3 linked regions of the Saccharomyces cerevisiae S288C genome follow. The gene in region 1 interacts genetically with each later gene. Each region holds a gene or a part of one and is shown in the gene's direction. Other genes may lie near its edges.

What was found. Genes that interact genetically often act in the same process or in processes that back each other up.
Region 2: mutations in PPA2 (region 1) and DLD1 together harm fitness more than expected from each alone (negative genetic interaction), as found in Saccharomyces cerevisiae (2 studies listed by BioGRID).
Region 3: mutations in PPA2 (region 1) and TNA1 together harm fitness more than expected from each alone (negative genetic interaction), as found in Saccharomyces cerevisiae (2 studies listed by BioGRID).

Annotation. Positions count from the first base shown.
Region 1 is NC_001145.3:797,923-805,699, forward strand, and holds PPA2 (inorganic diphosphatase PPA2), read left to right. Parts: upstream 1-3,849; coding exon 3,850-4,782; downstream 4,783-7,777. Other genes in the region: YMR265C (uncharacterized protein), read right to left, coding at 1-3; RSN1 (Rsn1p), read left to right, coding at 596-3,457; U6 snRNP complex subunit PRP24, read right to left, coding at 4,966-6,300; TMA23 (Tma23p), read left to right, coding at 6,534-7,169; RRN9 (Rrn9p), read right to left, coding at 7,404-7,777. UniProt on the Saccharomyces cerevisiae protein: Involved in energy production. Its activity is stimulated by uncouplers of ATP synthesis.
Region 2 is NC_001136.10:143,358-149,268, reverse strand, and holds DLD1 (D-lactate dehydrogenase), read left to right. Parts: upstream 1-1,679; coding exon 1,680-3,443; downstream 3,444-5,911. Other genes in the region: GLT1 (glutamate synthase (NADH)), read left to right, coding at 1-66; PAR32 (Par32p), read right to left, coding at 191-1,078; AIR2 (TRAMP complex RNA-binding subunit), read left to right, coding at 3,751-4,785; GID12 (Gid12p), read right to left, coding at 5,046-5,911. UniProt on the Saccharomyces cerevisiae protein: Catalyzes the stereospecific oxidation of D-lactate to pyruvate.
Region 3 is NC_001139.9:1,010,579-1,016,557, forward strand, and holds TNA1 (Tna1p), read left to right. Parts: upstream 1-1,906; coding exon 1,907-3,511; downstream 3,512-5,979. Other genes in the region: ssDNA endodeoxyribonuclease RAD2, read right to left, coding at 1-188; APL6 (AP-3 complex subunit beta), read right to left, coding at 3,743-5,979. UniProt on the Saccharomyces cerevisiae protein: Involved in the uptake of nicotinic acid.

The DNA of each region.
Region 1 (7,777 bases):
CATTATACTCGTTTGGGTTATGCAGACAAACAGCACATATGATAATTCATTTTTTTTCTTCCATTATACGCTATAGTAATGTAAGACCTGATCTACGGGTTCGTTTCTTCTATTTCCGTTACCCGCCGTGCACCACAGCATCGCTGCGGTTCCGTCTGCGTGAGTCGTTCTGCGCGAATCACTTCCCGCAGCTGACATCACAGGGGCGGCCTTTCCTGGCTACGATTTTTTAGCGGGAAAGGCACACCCTTTCTTCTCCTTTCGGGTATAAAGTTTCTTCTGTGTGGATTCTGTGGGCCAGCTTCGGTTTTGAAGTTGGAAAAAAATTCTTCATCTTTGTTTTTTTATCGTGGAAAAGGAAGAAAATACTTGATAACCAACAGCAAAGCCGCATGGCTTGGCACTCGATCTTGATGTTGTCCCGTGCCTGGTTGTATAATATTATTATTAATGGCCATTTCGTAATCAAATTTCGGTTTGTTGTTTTTTTCTATTTCTTTTTCATCTTATATATATTAATTCGTTTGCCTTTTCCGTTTCTTTTTGTTTTAGTAATCATAAGTTTACGGCTTAGCAGCAAGGGCAAAGGGACAAAATGAATAGTACTAATAGTACTAATAGTACTACAACAGCTACCAGTACAAACACGTCAACTCAACAAGTCGTTACTTCTTTGGTAAGTAATGGTACTATTTTTGGTGTTTTTGTCATAGCGTTCTTGATTTTGCGTATAAAACTAAAAAGGATTTATGAGCCCAAATCCTCATTCAATCTGATTAATGAAGAAAAAAAGCCAGAACCGCTACCGCAGGGCGTCTGGCAATGGCTGAAGCCGTTATTGAAAAAATCAGACAATTTTGTCATTCAACAAGCCGGTCTGGATGGATATTTCTTTTTGAGGTACCTTTTCATCATTGCAATTTACTGTGCTGTTTCCATGAGTTATATATTCCCTATTTTGTTGTCCATTAACGCCAGTAACGGTAACCATGAAAGCGGATTGAATCAATTGGCCTATCAGAACGTCAAGCACCGTGGTAGATATTTTGCACATGTTTTCTGTGGATGGATTTTCTTTTGGGGGTTCCTTTACATTATTTACAGAGAATTGTATTTTTACACCTCTATGAAGCAAGCTGTACTAGCGTCCCCTCGTTATGCTAAAAAACTATCCTCGAGAACCGTGTTATTCCAGACTGTCCCTAAGCAATACTTAAGTGAAGAAGAGTTTTCTAAGTTGTTTGATGGTGTGAAAAGAGTCTGGATCGCAAGAGGTTCCGGTTCAATTGAAGCAATGGTCAAAGCAAGGGACAATATGGCCATACAATTGGAAGGTGCTGAAACAAAATACCTGAAAGCAGCATTGAAAAAAATTAAGAAGTTAAACAAAAAAAGTCCGCAATTATCTGTCTCTGATAATATTGCTGAATATGTCCCTGACAAGAAAAGACCACATCATAAAATTAACAAGGTTGCTAAATTCTTTTTTGGTAAAAAAGTTGACACCATATCCTACATTAAGGAGGAGTTGCCCAAGTTAAACCAAAAGGTGAAGGCATTACAAGAAGATCATGAAAATTCATCCCCTTTCAACTCCGTTTTTGTGGAGTTTGAATCCCAATATCAGGCCCAAGTTGCCGCTCAGATCACCACATACCATGCTCCTCTTTTCATGACGCCTGTGTATATTGGTATTGAGCCATCCGATGTCGTTTGGTTTAATTTGAGGATGTTCTGGTGGGAAAGATTAGGTAGGGAAGTCAGTGCGGTTTCAGCAATTGTCGCGCTAGTAATATTATGGGCTTTCCCAGTGGCTTTTGTTGGTATGATCTCTAATATTACTTCCTTGACTAATGAAGTTAAATGGTTAAAGTTCATCTATAAATTACCAAAACAACTATTAGGTTTACTGACATCTCTGGCCCCAACTGTGGCATTGGCCGTTTTAATGAGTTTCTTGCCGAAATTTATTAGGGGTATGGCTATCACTCAAGGTGCTCCATCTAAGCAAAATGTGGAATATTTCACTCAACAAGCTTATTTCGCCTTTCAAGTTATCCAAGTCTTTTTAGTTACCACTCTATCCTCCGCCGCCACTTCCACAGTAACGGAAATTGTTAAAGAGCCCACGAAGGCTATGGATCTACTGGCTTCTAATCTGCCAAAAGCTTCTAATTTTTTCATGTCATACGTTATTCTACAAGGTCTGTCCATTTCATCAGGTGCTCTTTTGCAAATTGTTCCACTAATACTCTTTTATGTTTTAGGTGCCTTTTTAGATGGTACCGTTAGGAAGAAATGGAATCGTTTTTGTGGGCTATCCAGTATGCAGTGGGGGACAGCTTTTCCAGTTTATACAAACTTGGCAGTTATTACTTTCTCCTACTCCATCATTTCTCCGTTGATTTTATTATTTGCTGCCGTCGCGTTTTTCCTATTGTATATTGCATATTTATACAATTTGACTTATGTCTATCAGGAATCACCCGACGCAAGGGGTATTTATTATCCAAGAGCTCTTTTCCAAACTATAGTTGGTATCTACATCGGTCAGATATGTCTATTAGGTCTTTTTGCCGTTGGTAAAGGTTGGGGCCCAATCGTTTTACAGGTAATTGGAATTTGTGTTACCGTCCTTATTCATTTACATTTGAGCGCTGCATTTGATCATTTATCAAAGGTTATACCCGTTGATACCATGAAACCGTTAGATGGTGTATCAGATACACCTTCTTTCAAAAATATTTATAAAGGCATAGAAAGTACAAAGGTGAAGAAAAATACTTTTGGTGCAAATATTGACATGGACGGAATCAAAGAATTACCTGAATTTCCAATAAAGAAATATCACAAGAGGAGTGAATCAGTCACTGAGCAACAAGTTGAAAATAGCATATTTAGTGAAAATACATTCGAATATCAATTCAACCCAGCAAATGAAGCCAATGCAGATGGGCACGCTATAAATGCAGAAAATTTAATTGAGGACGTGCCATTATTAGCAGATGGTGATACAATGAAAATTCCTCCGGCTCCATGGTGGAAGAGATTCTTAAAACCTCACATTTACTACTCCTATAAGGCTGTAAAGAGCAGACTGCCAGAAATATATGGTTTGGTTGATCCTGATGAAAGAGTCAATGATTTCGATATCTCTCATGCTTACGATTATCCAGCTGTTAGTGCACAATGCCCCGAATTGTGGATTCCTCGCGATCCTTTTGGATTTTCCAAATTGTTGATTTCAGACGTTTCTGGCGTTGTTGAAATGAACGATGAAAATGCTACCATCGATGAGAATTTGAAATTTACTCTGCGTGACGTACCACCACCATATAATGATGTTAAAGACGAAGCAAATGGTGAAGCAAATGGCGAATTTGACACAGCTAGTAAGGAAAATAATCCATTTGCGGACCCAAAGTATAAGGAAGAAGAGAGTCGTTCGGCAGTCTAAAGGTTAAACATTATCAGAAATTATCTATTCCTATTTGTTTAGCTGTTATCCTCTGATGGTTGAATTGTAATTTTACTAAGAAAAGGAGAGGAAAAGGACGTGCATATATTCTTTTAATACATTTAAAATATGATTCTAATCATTTCTTATATAATAGTGTATAGTCTAATCATTCATCGTGTATAGTAACCCTTTTTGTTTTTTTTTATGCAAAGTTTTTTTGTTTTTGGCAATCTATGAGGTTTGAATATTGGATAAAAGGAACTCCGCACAGTAATACGGAGCAGTCAGCTAATTTAACCAGCACTAATAGGGAGTACATTCAATTGGAAACTTTGATTCGCTTGTATGCGTGAAAAGCAAATTCCCTTCTAGAGAAGTTACTGAAAAACATGAATTTATTACGAATGAATGCTTTAACAAGCAAGGCTAGGTCAATAGAACGGTTAAAACAAACATTGAATATTTTATCCATTCGTAATCATAGACAATTCAGCACCATTCAACAAGGCAGCAAATATACCCTCGGGTTTAAGAAATACTTGACATTATTAAATGGAGAGGTTGGTTCTTTTTTCCATGATGTCCCTTTAGATTTGAATGAACATGAAAAGACCGTAAATATGATTGTTGAAGTACCAAGATGGACAACTGGAAAATTTGAAATATCCAAAGAACTTAGGTTCAATCCGATCGTTCAAGATACGAAGAATGGCAAGCTTAGGTTCGTGAACAATATCTTTCCCTATCACGGCTATATACACAACTATGGTGCTATTCCCCAAACATGGGAAGATCCCACAATTGAACATAAACTGGGGAAGTGTGACGTGGCTTTGAAAGGTGACAATGATCCTCTTGATTGTTGCGAAATCGGTTCGGATGTTTTGGAAATGGGTTCCATTAAAAAGGTCAAGGTATTAGGATCACTCGCTTTAATTGATGATGGAGAATTGGATTGGAAGGTCATAGTGATCGACGTAAATGATCCTTTATCCTCTAAAATAGATGACTTGGAAAAAATTGAGGAGTACTTTCCTGGGATTCTAGATACGACTAGGGAGTGGTTTAGAAAGTATAAAGTTCCAGCAGGGAAGCCATTAAATAGTTTCGCCTTTCATGAACAGTATCAAAATTCCAATAAAACCATCCAAACTATAAAGAAATGTCACAATTCGTGGAAAAACCTCATTTCAGGATCACTCCAGGAGAAGTATGACAACCTGCCTAATACAGAAAGGGCTGGTAATGGTGTCACACTTGAAGATAGTGTTAAACCCCCTTCTCAAATACCGCCTGAGGTGCAAAAATGGTATTACGTTTAATATGAAAATAATACCTTCGAAGAAAATGTTTAGATAAAGGTTCCTTGTATATAATTACGTAATCTCTGCTCTCTCGAATGTTGGCTGCTTGATGTATGTGAACGTTTGGAAAGAAACTTGGGTTTATATTCACTGCTAAAATGACATCCTATTAGAAGTTCGTCTTTCTCCGGTTCGGTTAGTCTACTCACCTAGAAACATCTTGCGAAAATCGTCGTTGGACATCTGCTCTTGTTTGTCAGGAATTTTTTTCTTTACTTGAAGATTTGGTCCTTTTTCCATCATGTTTATACAACTAGGTTTGACGTGTTTCATGCTGTGATTCTGTTGATTGTTATAATATCTTTTCATGTCATTAATAGTACCTGAACGTATCACCTTTCCCTGAAATTGAGATCCATTTAGTATCATTAGCATTTTTGCTGCAAACTTACTATCTCTAAATATAATAATGGCGCCATTGAAGTCGCTAACGAGAAGTATTTTCCTAATATCTTTTTCATTGATGTGTATTTCTTCCTGAAGAAATTGGCAGATTAAGCTTGGTGACACCTTATCTGAAAGTGGAAATAAGCATATTAGTGTTTCTAGTTCTTTGCTGTTACGCGATGCGAGAAGTCTTTTGACTTCGTTTCTTTCTAAGAATGGTTTTTTATCAGCCAAGGAAACGGAAATTTCCCTATTACCTAACAAACTTCTATTCATTTGAAGTGCCCTTTCAGCAGAATCTTTATTTTCAAAAACCATAAATGCACAACAGTTATTGAAACTGTGCTCTTTCTGTCCAGCAGGTATGTTGATTTTTTCAATGGAACCAAATCCCTCAAAAGATTCCCTCAGAAGGTTTTCGTCGAGCAATTCTGTACTTAGGTTTCGTATCATAATCTCTCGCCCCTCTAGTGTGGCAGAATCGGTCCGTTTCGACTTTTCCAGCGGATTGGAAACTTTAGTAACTAAAGTATAACCTTCTATTTTGAGTCCATTCAATTTTTCTACACAATATCTTGCATCCTCTTTAGAAGTAACATCGATGTAAGCGAACCTTCTGCTTGTATTGAATCGTAAACTGGGAAGCCGTATACTGAGTGCAACAACGTTAATATCTTGCAATAGATCTCTAATATTTCTTTGAGTATAACTTGGGGGGAAATTCGTCATCCATAATGTGCATTCTGTTAAATGAGATACTATAATTTCATTCTGACCTACAACTTTGTGTGTTTTGGTTATTGCAGCGAGGGCTCCATCATACCTGGCAAATTCAATACGTGCAAAACGAAAGTTCTTCTTCAGCGAATCCGCAACATCAACGTGTATAATGGGCCCACAATGTTTGAAGTACTTATAGACTTTGTTTTGATTATAGCTCTTAGGCAAATTTTTGACTAATACAGTTGTTAATTCTCTATTTCTTGTTAAAGCTTCGTTCGCCTTCTTAGAAGTTAATCCTGCGGCTGCTGGTGATCCTTCATCCAATGGTCGTTTTGAATCTGGTCTAGCGTGATGTCCATACTCCATTATCACAGATTATGAAGTGAATATGTGGGCTTGTTTATCGCTAATGATTCTCATATAATAAATATAAAGGGTTTTCAATGTTGTAGTAAATCTGCCATTTTGAATAAGTTCCCGCCTGAAAATTTTTTAGCGATGACTTTAAAAAAGACATTGATGCACTCTACAATTCATTGTCATGATGTACATAGAAAATTGAATGATACAAGCGGAAATATTATCAGAATAAATCGGACATGGATAGCAAAGAATATCTGATATCATATGGTTGGAAAGAAGGAGAAGCGTTTAGAGAAGGTGGTTTGAAAAGACCCATACTGGTAAAGCACAAGAGAGATAAGAAGGGATTGGGTAATGCTCCTGGCGGGAATGATGGCGAAGCATGGTGGGAAAGGCTATTTGATGGACATCTGAAGAACCTGGATGTAAGCACTGATTCGAATAATGGCAGTATTAAATTTACTCAAAATGAGGCAGTTGCTACTGCTGTATCGAAAAGTAGCTCACCTCTATACAGGTGGTTTGTAAAGGGAGAAGGGCTGAAAGGAACCATTACTAATCTTGGTAAAAAGGAGGAAGCCAGCTTTGTTGTATCTAGTGCAAGTTCGAGTAAAGGGAAGAAGAGAAGAAGGCGTGATGAAGATGATAACAAGGTCAAGAGAAAAAAATTGAAAAAAGATAAAAAGACTAGTAACGACAGTGAGAGTAAGAAGAAGAAGAAGAAGAAAAGCAAGAAGGAGAGTAAAAAAGGAAAGAAAAGTAAGCATAGCAGCGATGAAGGTGATAAATCGAAGCATAAAAAATCCAAAAAGTCAAAAAAACATAAAAAGGAAGAAAGTTCAGCAAGAAGAGATAGAAAGGAGCATATATGATTATCATAGTCTAATATGTAAATATGTATCCGTAAAAGACATTCTTAAAAGTTTGAATTTATGATCTTTTTATTTTTGTATTTAGTCTTTGTTTTCGAACTTTTATTAATATTAAATTTCAGTAAGTAAATTAAAAGAACATCTTTAAAAGAGTATATTTATTGTTACATATGTTGATCTTAAAAGGAGATGAATATTTCTTAATGGAAAAAGGTAAAAAAAAGATTTTCTCATTCATATGTTCCCATTAGGCAGTTCTATGAGGCAGTCGTCCAACTCGTAATCAGAGATCTCATTCTCATCCTCTAAGTAGCCCTTTACCTGAAAAAATGTTCTTTTGTTTAGAGCATCTTCCGTCTCTTCACGATTTAAGCGTTGTAGCTTGGATTTGTCCTTTGATGTCAACCGTTTATCCTTCAATAACTTTTCCACAGGTATGAAATCTTCTCTTGTTTTACTTAATAGCTCCTTTAAGTATGAACTGGTCTTTTTTGGCTGGTGATACTTTTTTAGAATTTGTTTGGGCAGTCTGAATTTTCTCTTTTTATACTTTTCTGGGATATCGTTATATAGCTCTAATGATTTCATGTAGATATCCGTCATATCCT
Region 2 (5,911 bases), on another chromosome or scaffold:
CCAAGTAATGGTGGTATCGTTCAACGTGATTACAAACTATTGAAAGAATTAGCTAGTCAAGTCTAAAAAGCTTGAGTTATTATTTATTTTATGATCGTATATTATTTATTTATTTATTTATTTATTTATTTATTTATTTATTTATTTATTTATTTTATTTAGTTTATTAATTTTGCTGATGAATGTTATTTCAATTAAACATAGTTTTCAAAGAACTGAAAAACCCTGATTTCTTCTTCTTCTTCTTCTTCTTCTCTTTACCATTGTCATCTTTCAAATTAAACTTATCTTCATCATCATCGTTTAAGTTATGGTTGATAGTGTTCCTGCTTGACTTTGGAGAAATTATGTTTCCAGCGCCACCTCTTCCAATAGCAAATTTTTCCGGTGCGCTTTTGCCCTTGAGCTTATTTTTAGGCTTCTTGGACGTGGACTTGATTGCCGCCAAAGCATTGCCATTGGAAGTCACCACAAACAGGTTGTCCTCGTTTGCATTGATAGTATCCTCATCCTCGATATTGCCGCCTCGTATCTCATCCTCTTCATTTCCACCATTGCTGGCCACCTTTTTTTTGTTGAAGAAAATGTTTCCTGCCCCACCTCTACCAACGACAATTGGGGCGTTGTTGTTCGGAGACGAAGTGGTGGCATGCAAAGACTGATGGCTCCTTGTAGCGCTGATACGAGACCTGGTGTTGGTCACCGGGTTTGACCCACCTTCATCCACCATATCCGAAGTTATAGGGGAAATATAATCGTCGATGTCATTGATCACGTCGTTATAGTTGATATTGTCGTTAGAGTCCAGTTGTTGGGCGGATCTCGTCAGGTGCGGATCATGAAAGATATTACCGGCACCACCTCTACCAATTGCAAAACGAGGAACCTTTTCCTGGTTGCTACCGTTATTATTGTTGTTTGCTACTGTCTTTGAATTGGATTTCAATGGAAGAAGTACGGGAGACGGCTTGGACATAGATTTATGGATGTTGCCAGCTCCGCCTCTGCCAGTGGAGACCTTGTACTCTTGTACACGTGCCTGGTTCTCCATCTCGTTTTGTGGGTTGAACGTAGCCATACTAACTTGGTCTTACGCTACTGCTGCTGCTAACGCTGCTGCTGCTTTTGCTCATATGCTTCCATTGACCGTCATTAGTATCAGCGTCAGCCTTTTTGACATAAGCCACCGCTCTGTCAGGGTAACCCTATGAAACATTTCAAAACGTTATAAAGGAACTCGTCTGGTTACAACAAGGAAATATCACTACAAACAGCTGTCCGTACGGCTCCTCAACTCTCTCAATGTTGTTCGCCTGGTCACACACAGCATAGTTTCGTCATTCGGCGCCGACGGTCGCTGTCTCTTGGAGCCTTCAAGCTCTTGTCAACCCAGGTCCGTTGTGCCGATAAAAGTAACAGCAGACCCCCACGCCCGCATCCCACTCTCTTCTCCGACCACCTCCCTCGAAGTTCTTCCCTGCCAATCCCACGTCGATCCAGCGTAGTTGGCCCCAACTGGTGCAGTAATAACCGCTTAGCGATTTTGCACTCGGAACTACATATGTATATATATATGTGTGTGTGTGTGTGGGCTGGAAAGATTTCTTGAGCTTCCGTGTTATAGTGCAATTTAAATATTGTACATCATTCCGATCCAGCTGGAAACAAAAGCAAGAACAATGTTGTGGAAGCGTACTTGCACAAGGCTAATAAAGCCTATTGCACAACCTAGAGGAAGGCTGGTGAGAAGATCATGCTACAGATACGCCTCAACAGGCACAGGCAGCACCGACAGCAGCAGCCAGTGGTTAAAATACTCTGTCATCGCCTCTTCAGCTACTCTATTCGGTTATTTGTTCGCTAAGAACCTCTATTCTAGGGAGACTAAGGAAGATTTGATAGAGAAGCTGGAAATGGTCAAAAAGATCGACCCAGTAAATTCTACGTTAAAGCTGTCCTCATTGGACTCACCAGACTATTTGCACGACCCGGTTAAGATCGATAAGGTTGTTGAGGACCTGAAGCAGGTGCTGGGAAACAAGCCTGAAAACTACTCTGATGCGAAATCCGATTTGGACGCCCATTCAGATACCTACTTCAACACGCATCACCCCTCTCCCGAGCAAAGACCTAGGATTATATTATTCCCTCATACTACCGAAGAAGTTTCCAAAATTTTGAAAATATGTCACGATAACAACATGCCAGTTGTACCCTTCTCGGGCGGAACGTCCTTGGAGGGGCACTTCCTGCCTACAAGAATTGGAGATACCATAACCGTAGACCTGTCCAAGTTTATGAATAACGTCGTAAAATTTGACAAGCTGGACCTGGACATCACCGTGCAGGCCGGTCTACCCTGGGAGGATTTGAATGACTATTTGAGCGACCACGGTTTGATGTTTGGCTGTGACCCTGGTCCAGGTGCACAGATTGGTGGTTGCATTGCTAATTCTTGTTCAGGAACCAACGCCTACCGTTACGGTACCATGAAGGAGAATATTATAAACATGACTATAGTGTTGCCGGACGGGACCATTGTCAAGACGAAGAAAAGACCCAGAAAGTCGAGCGCTGGCTATAACTTAAATGGTTTATTTGTGGGAAGTGAAGGTACCTTAGGTATTGTTACTGAAGCTACTGTCAAGTGTCATGTCAAGCCCAAAGCTGAAACTGTTGCGGTGGTATCCTTTGATACTATCAAGGATGCGGCCGCATGTGCTTCTAATCTGACTCAGAGTGGTATTCATTTGAACGCCATGGAGTTACTGGATGAAAATATGATGAAGTTGATCAACGCATCTGAATCCACGGACAGATGTGATTGGGTAGAGAAACCAACTATGTTTTTCAAGATTGGTGGGAGATCTCCCAACATTGTCAATGCTCTTGTGGATGAAGTTAAGGCTGTCGCCCAGTTAAATCACTGCAACAGTTTTCAGTTTGCTAAAGATGATGACGAAAAATTGGAATTATGGGAAGCTAGAAAGGTCGCGCTATGGTCTGTGCTAGACGCTGATAAGAGCAAAGACAAATCAGCTAAAATTTGGACAACTGATGTAGCTGTTCCTGTGTCGCAGTTCGACAAGGTTATTCACGAAACTAAAAAGGACATGCAAGCTAGTAAGCTGATCAACGCCATTGTTGGTCATGCAGGTGATGGTAACTTCCATGCATTCATCGTCTACAGAACCCCTGAAGAACACGAAACCTGTAGCCAACTTGTTGACAGAATGGTCAAGAGAGCACTGAACGCAGAAGGCACTTGCACGGGTGAACACGGTGTTGGTATTGGTAAAAGAGAGTACTTGCTCGAAGAATTAGGTGAAGCACCCGTCGATTTGATGAGAAAGATTAAGCTAGCTATTGACCCAAAGAGAATCATGAACCCGGACAAAATCTTTAAAACTGATCCAAACGAGCCCGCTAATGATTACAGGTGAGTATCTGATTTTCCTTTTTCACCCTTCACGTAAACCTGAAATATATTTCATGTAATATATATAGTTCATCCTTAAAGAAAACATACCATTTCAAAATGCCCTTTCCCAGTAGCTAATACATGCTTAAAAATGTGATATATATTATTACCATCAAATGTATTCATGATCCGGGTAGTGCCTTTTTTTCCTTCAAACACTAATGGGATGGGAAGAAACATTTCGAAAAAAGTTATGACTATTGGCAGCATCAGAGAGAATTAAACCTTACCTGTACAACGATAGCAGCTTACATCACTTCCTCGCAGTCATGGAAAAAAATACGGCACCATTTGTCGTCGATACGGCACCCACAACTCCTCCAGATAAACTTGTAGCACCTTCTATAGAGGAAGTAAATAGTAATCCCAACGAATTAAGAGCTCTTAGAGGGCAGGGTAGATATTTTGGCGTAAGCGATGATGACAAGGATGCCATTAAAGAGGCAGCACCTAAATGTAATAATTGCTCTCAAAGAGGTCATTTGAAGAAGGATTGTCCCCATATAATATGTTCGTACTGTGGGGCGACGGATGATCATTATTCTCGACATTGTCCGAAGGCTATCCAGTGTTCAAAGTGTGATGAGGTGGGTCATTACAGGTCACAATGTCCACATAAATGGAAAAAAGTTCAGTGCACTCTTTGTAAGAGTAAGAAACACTCAAAAGAAAGATGTCCTAGTATATGGAGAGCATATATTTTAGTAGATGATAATGAAAAGGCTAAGCCCAAGGTCCTTCCCTTTCATACTATATACTGTTATAACTGCGGTGGAAAGGGGCACTTTGGTGATGATTGCAAGGAAAAACGATCATCTAGAGTACCTAACGAGGATGGAAGTGCGTTCACTGGTTCTAATTTGTCAGTTGAGCTAAAACAGGAATATTACCGTCACATGAACAGAAATTCGGACGAAAATGAAGACTATCAATTTAGTGAGTCCATATACGATGAGGATCCACTACCGAGACCTTCCCATAAAAGACATTCCCAAAACGATCACTCTCATAGTGGCAGAAATAAACGTAGAGCATCGAACTTCCATCCTCCTCCTTATCAAAAGTCTAATGTCATTCAACCAACTATAAGGGGCGAGACGCTGTCACTCAATAATAATATTAGTAAAAATTCACGGTATCAAAATACAAAAGTAAACGTCTCGTCGATATCGGAGAATATGTATGGCTCCAGATATAACCCTTCTACTTATGTTGATAATAACAGCATTTCCAACTCTTCCAATTACAGAAACTACAATTCTTATCAACCATATAGGAGTGGTACCTTGGGGAAAAGAAGATAACTTTAAATAGGAAGCCCTTTAACAAGCTGTTCTTGGTTACATTATATTTTCTTAATGAAAGATTAAAGACAATACCTAATTCGACCATTAATCAAAATAGCATGTAAATTTCTTACATCTTCTTGTTGTGAAAAAAAAAGGCCTTCGTGCAATCACAGGTAATAATAATAACATATACATACATATACGTAAATACGTCTTATAACTCCTGCTACCTCATACGCTATTTTCTATTATGGCTAACATCTATGCAACTCAATTTAGTCTCTTTTTACCTTTTTCACAATGAATGTATAAAGGTCCTTTTCATCGTAATCTAACCTTCTTTTTTGTGCATTTAAACCGTCATAATCGATTAGAGCAAGTTTGTCGACAAACCGATCTTTTCTATTTAGCTTTAGTGAATCGCACAGTTTTATTCTTCCTAACCTGCAGTTTTTGAAAAATTCGCCTTTAAGAACAGTTATCTCTCCTGCCATTGATGTTACCACCAAGTGAAACGTAAGGGCGCAAACATTGTCTGTGCCTACGTCTATATCATTAATTATAACAATTGTATCATTAATCAATCCGAAATCATGGGGTATTATCCGAATAGTATCCTTGGAATTCCTTAACAAATTTTTGGTATTTTTTATTTCAAATCTATTTATCAACAAAACTCCATGTGTGTCCAATATAAAGCATAAAGAATCATCCAGCATAAATAATTTCTTGAATGAACATAAATTTCCCAATGCCTGCTTGAATTGAGCTGTCTCATCATCTATCACTTGGCCATCCACCTTCATTTGACTTTCTGCCCACTCTTCTTCATTAGTTCCATTTTCAGAGCCATTTTTGTTCGATAATGAATCGATTTTAATTATTGGTTCATCATAGTACCGAGGTCGGAATGCACTCAACGTGACGAAATGATCGATGCACACAATGTCCATCTTTTTGTAATTATCTGTTAGAAAAGAAGTCATTGTTTCATCACTTTCATCTGTAGTGTTATCATCTTCATTCACCCCATCATTTCCATTTCTATGAGAAATCTTTTCAACAATTTCAAAATCTACCATAAATGTATTCCTTCTTAATCCTCGGATAAAAGAATCTAATTCCCACTTCGTTGAACAGG
Region 3 (5,979 bases), on another chromosome or scaffold:
CAAATTCTTCTAAAGAACCCAGTAATATGAGAATTCTTCACTGCATTCCCCTCCTGATCACGGACAGCTTTCAAAAACTGATATATCCAAATGGAGGCATCTACTGCCATTCTCTTATCTTCCAAGGATTCCAGCCTGACCGGTCTTGCCGTAGGACCTGCAATATCCCAAAATGAATGCACACCCATGTCTGAAGTTTGGCGTTCTCCCGAAAATGCTTTTCTTCATGGATGACGTGTAGAACCTTCAATGATTTACGTACAGTTTTTCAATCCCTTTAAGGTCTCTATATGTGGCGGCATCTTTTCTTTTTCTTTTCTTTTTTTTTTTTTCACTCTCCCTTTTAATGCCTCCACGGAGGTTCGAATGGGTTATACTAGAAAGAAAAAAAAATAGTGATAATTAACAATGAAAAAAAAAAAACAGCAACAAAATGTGGTATTGGGGTCACACCACTCATTGACTCACATCCTCTGGAAACATCAAAAAGCTACCAAAAAAGAAAAAAAAAAAAATTCAAGTGCGAAGTTTCCGCATATGCAAACCTTACTTATTGTATAATATTGGTAACAGCAGCTACTAAGCTCCCTGACTCTGATTTCTCTCTCTGTCTCTTTTGAGGAGTACCTTCTGCGCTACTGTGTTCCAATGGTATCTGCGCCTTGAAAATCAATCACAAACGCTCTTGCTATGGCCTGCCTTGGACACGATACGTCGCTGCTTATGCCGCCAGGTGTCAGTAAATGCTCTGACGCACCCATTCACCCCGCGCACTAATTTGCAAAATTTGGGGGCAGTTTGGGAATACTCCATAGAAAAAATCGACTTCAAATCAATTCCGCACAACGTCGCCGTGTTGGCTAAAGTGAACGGAAAATGGACGACATGGTAAAAGAACAGATATGTACATATACAGAAGCCGCGATTTCACATGCCGGCCATTATGGCACACAACCAGGTCTTGTACTGTCACTATGTGCGTTCCGGAACGCCTGTACAGTCCATGGTGAACCATTTATTTATTTATTATTATTATTTTGTACATTATTATTTATGCTATATGTTATTATTATTATCACTATTTAATATTATTATTCGGGTCCAGGTGAAATAACAAAGTCTGGCGCCAGTCACTTGTCTGGGTGCCCGTATTCTCTGTTACAGCGGTATCCCTCTGGATTCTGCAATCGTCGCCGGCTTCTACTAATTTTTCCTTTCCTTTTTGTTTTTTTTTTTTTTTAGTTTTTTATTTTCTAGTTTCCTGCTCGTATTCTGTTGGTTTTTCCAGTGTCTCTCTCCTTTTACAAGTCACCCATTCTCTGCGAAGAAGCGGTCGCACCAACAAAATAGAAAATACCACCGGACGCCGGATCGCTTATTACTCGCAATCATAGTTACCAATCACAGCCGGGCATACTCGGGATCTACCGTAGAATCCTATGCGTCACACATGAGGACAGGTTACGAACCGTCGAAGGCTTCGCGGCGTGTGTGATTAGTATTGTTTTGACCTCATCCATACACCCTGAAATATCTGTCGCATCTCCGATTACGTTAAAAATTCTGGATAATATATAAACCATGAGTTTTCCTTTCTTTGAAGTATGTTCCTACTCGAGATCCTTTTGTTATTTTATTGCCATTTTTTTTTTGTTTCATATGTACTTCTTATCTACTATTTATATTTCTCTATATTAACTAACTCTCCAAGCTATAAGCATACGTCCATATTTACTGTCTTAGAAGTCGTATTCACATCACAGTTTTCCCCCTCTTCGCCTTTTTCAAACTATTTTCCCCCGTGAGACAGCGACTGAAAAAAAAACGACTGCGCAGAAGGCTTATATAAAAAAAAAAAGAAATATTTCTTCACTTTCGAGCATTGAACTATTGTCATTACCTCTAGATGAGCAACAAATTTACAATGGAGTCACCTAAGCATTTGGTGGATGATGTGCTTTTCATATCACCCACCAATGATGGATCAGAAGAAAAGCCTACGGAAGTCACGTTCCAGGAAGATGAAGGCCATGACGCTAGCTTGCATAATCGCAGCCATGACAAGAAGTCGGAACTTGCCACCGAACGGGAAATTATGGCTACTACCACGGATGATGACGGCATCCCCTCCCCTTCCCATCCAATGGAAAAGCGTGTCTTGCGCAAAATGGATATATACTTGATTCCTCTTATGGGGATGCTATATTTCCTTTCTAACCTGGATAAATCGAATATTGGTAACGCAGAAGTTGCAGGTCTATCCAAGGATATCCACCTTGTAGGAACGCAATATAACACATGTGTCACAGTTTTTTTCGCGACGTATGTTCTTTTCGACCCCATAGGTACTAACCTTCTGAAAATTATGGGTCCGCCATTAATGATGAGTATCTGTTTGACCTGTTTCGGTGCTATTTCGCTCGGAACTGCTTGGGTTAAGAATTATGCTCAATTGATCGTTGTCAGACTACTACTGGGTGCCTTTGAAGGTATGATTTATCCCGCTATTAACATGTACCTTTCAGTCTGCTATAGAAGAGAACAATATGCTCTGAGGTTCGCTTTTGTCTTCAGTGCAGCCTGTTTGTCTTCATCTTTTGGTGGGCTGATTGCTTATGGTTGTTCCAAAATCAGCGGTTCTCTAAAGGACTGGCAATACATTTACATTGTCGAAGGTTGTATCTCTTTGGGGTTCGTACCATTCTATGCCTTCGGGTTGAGCAAAAATTTGGAGGATTCGTGGTTTTTCAATAAGGAGGAAAAAGAGTACATTTCCGAAAGATACAAGACTATGAACACTTTTGACCCGGACGAAAAATTTGAATGGTTCCAAGTGTGGCAAGCAGTTAAGGATGTCAAGACTTGGGCTAGTGCTGTGGCATTATTCGGTATCGATTTGACTACTTTTGGTCTAACAGTCTTCTTGCCGATCATCATTACCAGTATGGGGTTCACTAATGTCAGAGCTCAATTAATGACCGTGCCCATCTATTTCCTTACAGCAATTGTGTTCTTCATTTGTGCCGTTTGGTCTGATCGTATAAAGTTGAGATCTCCATTCATCCTGGGTGCTTGTCTGACGACTTCGATAGGCATAGCTATCGTCCTTGGTTCTCAAGTTCATGGTGTGAGATATTTTGGCGTTTACATTCTTTGTATGGGTATTTACGTTAATGCTGCCTGTAACTGTTTATGGTTAAGTGGTAACACTGGTAATTACTTCAAGAGAGCCACCGCTTTAGGAATTAATCTATTTTTCGGGTCTGGTTCAGGGTTGGTCTCTGGTCAAATTTTTGTTGCCAAAGACAAGCCAAGATATATCAAAGGGCTGTCGATTAGTCTGGCCTTTCAAGTCTTCTCCATATTTATGACGGTTGTGCAAATTTTCCTATACAAGAGGGAAAACGATAAAAAGAAAGCAATAATAGATCGCTGTAATGAATTGGGAGAGCCTATTCCATACGACGAAAGGTTAAGCGACAAAAACCCTGAGTTTAAGTACATGTATTAGGCTTGACTTTCTTCACCCTCCACTTTTTTTGCCCCTCGTTATGAGTGTGTTTGCAATTTGTAACTTTTCTTTTATATTTGTATGTATTTTTGTACTAAGCAAATTCACATGAAACTTTGTTTACCAACTTCTCTTTTGTTTTCGTCCCAAACACGTATATTACTGGGAAGATATACATGCCTATATCTATATCTATAAATATACATATTTATATAGTATTATCTCCGAGTTCTAAAGCTCCAGATGCGAAGAAGACGTTCCCGAAGAAGACGTTCCCAAAGAAGAGTCACTATACTCATCATCGTCACTGCTCTCTTCCGATTCGTCTTCATCCTCGTCACTGCTTTCTTCCACCACCTTTATAATTTTCCTTGGTTTACTCTTCCTTTCTGGAATGTCGGAAAAAAACTCGTCCAGGCTTTGCAAACGATATTTCTTCCCGTTTTGAGATGTGAAGGTGTTTACGTTACCTTTACCTGAGATGCTATTGCTATCGCCGTCATTGATCCCAGTCAATTTTGCGTTGGAGCTAGATGTGAAAGATCTTGCTGAGTTGTTGGTAATAAAAGACTGCGATGAAAAACTTTTTTTGTATTTGTTATAGTCTTTCAATTCTGCGCCTTCTCTAATATCGTTACCTGTCTCGCCAACCTCAGTAATTTCAGTATTCCAAGGAAGCATTCTAAAAAATTCTTTTATTTCTGGGGTATGTGTTTCCAATCTTGCAGAAACGATAAAATCGTCACTTCTTGCCGTAGGTTTAGGTGCTTGTAATAGTAGTGACACAATTTCATATTTCCCTGAATCAAACAAGGATGAAATCATCCTGGCTCTATCCCTAATATCAAATTCGTCATCATATTTTGCCAAGTAAAGGACCGCATTGTACATTTGAGAGATTCTTGAACCACTAAAATCATAGTATGGGGGATTTTGGTTATTTTCTTCGCTTCCAGTAACTTGCGCTTGCTTAAAATTATCAATGTCATATGACAACAGTTTTGCTGATAACACTAAGATCTGACATCTTGTCTCAGGACCCTCATTTGAAAAATTCTGGATTAGCCTCCTCAAAACGTCCGGACATATCTTAAATTCAATCGAGGCAATTTCACCAAATAACCAAACAATACCTGCACGAGCATTATCAGCCAAACTCGTTTGAACTGTTAATAAATCTGCAAGCTTGAAGATTATGCGAAGATGTTTTGTAGGATTTTTTTGCACCAGCATCCTGATAACATTCACGTATGCATCTAGGACAGAAGCAGAGAGGTTGTGGGATTCCATATGATCAATTAACCACTTCATTACATGTGATTCCCAACTCGTTGACAATTGGCCACATCGAGATAATGACTTAACCGCCATAATAACAACATTTTCTGGGAAATGAGCACTGGCAACATAATATTTCAATTCTTTGAATATTTCTTTAACGTTTGATTCATTTATTAACGTGGACAAAATTTGGATCTTCCAAATTGATGCCACAATAGGATCTTTGGGGAAAACGTAAAATTTCTTGGTGTAGGGTAAAAATAGTGTCTGGTCTAAGATCGATAAGAAGTGAATTGCTTGTAAAAGCATTTCTTTGTTACCTTGGTTTTCTGTCATGGTTACCGTTCTAACCAATGCTTCAATAAATTTAGTATTTTTCATCTGCAATGGTGAAGCTAACTGATATAGCGCATTGCAACACGATAAAATCACTGTAGGGTTGGAACTATAAATTAAGCAATTCAAACTCTGTAGAAATAAATCTAAATCAGGGTCATTTACCACCTCGTAAGATGGGTATTCAATCTCGTTGTATTTATCTGGTAAAGGACAACTCCTTGGGGAACCTTCTGATGATTTATCGACCACAGTTGGTTTTGGTAAATACTGCTTACAGTACTTGATTAGCAGCTCAATTAAATATGATTGTGACCACGAATCTAGTTGCTTAATTATTCTACAATATCTGCGAAAATGTCCATGCAATAGCTCCAAGTGATCCGCATAACATTCTTTGTAAGCTAGGACAGCACAGGATATCACCTTAGGATCTGTATCTGCCATTAATTCTTTCAGAATATCCAACAATTCTTCATGATAGTCATTCTTTCCAGCCCTATATAATTTGATAATGGCCAAGGCGACTTCACCACGAACCATTGCAGATGGATCTGTAACCAATTTCTTGACAGTATGCAAAATTATAGGTGCTAATGATGACATTTTCATGTCAGAAAGGGCACTCAAAGCAAAGCATCTCAGTTCGGAATTCGAATCAGACAATGATTTTTGAAGAGAATTAATAGATAACAGGGTCAGGTTTGGGTCATTTTCTGCAAATCTAAGTAAATACAGGTGAATAAGTCTTTTCACTTTGGTGTCATTAGTGGTGATATTCTTTACAACATCAGCAAAGTATAATTGAACGTCAATAGAGTCATCATCGGAAGCCATTATAGATATTATTC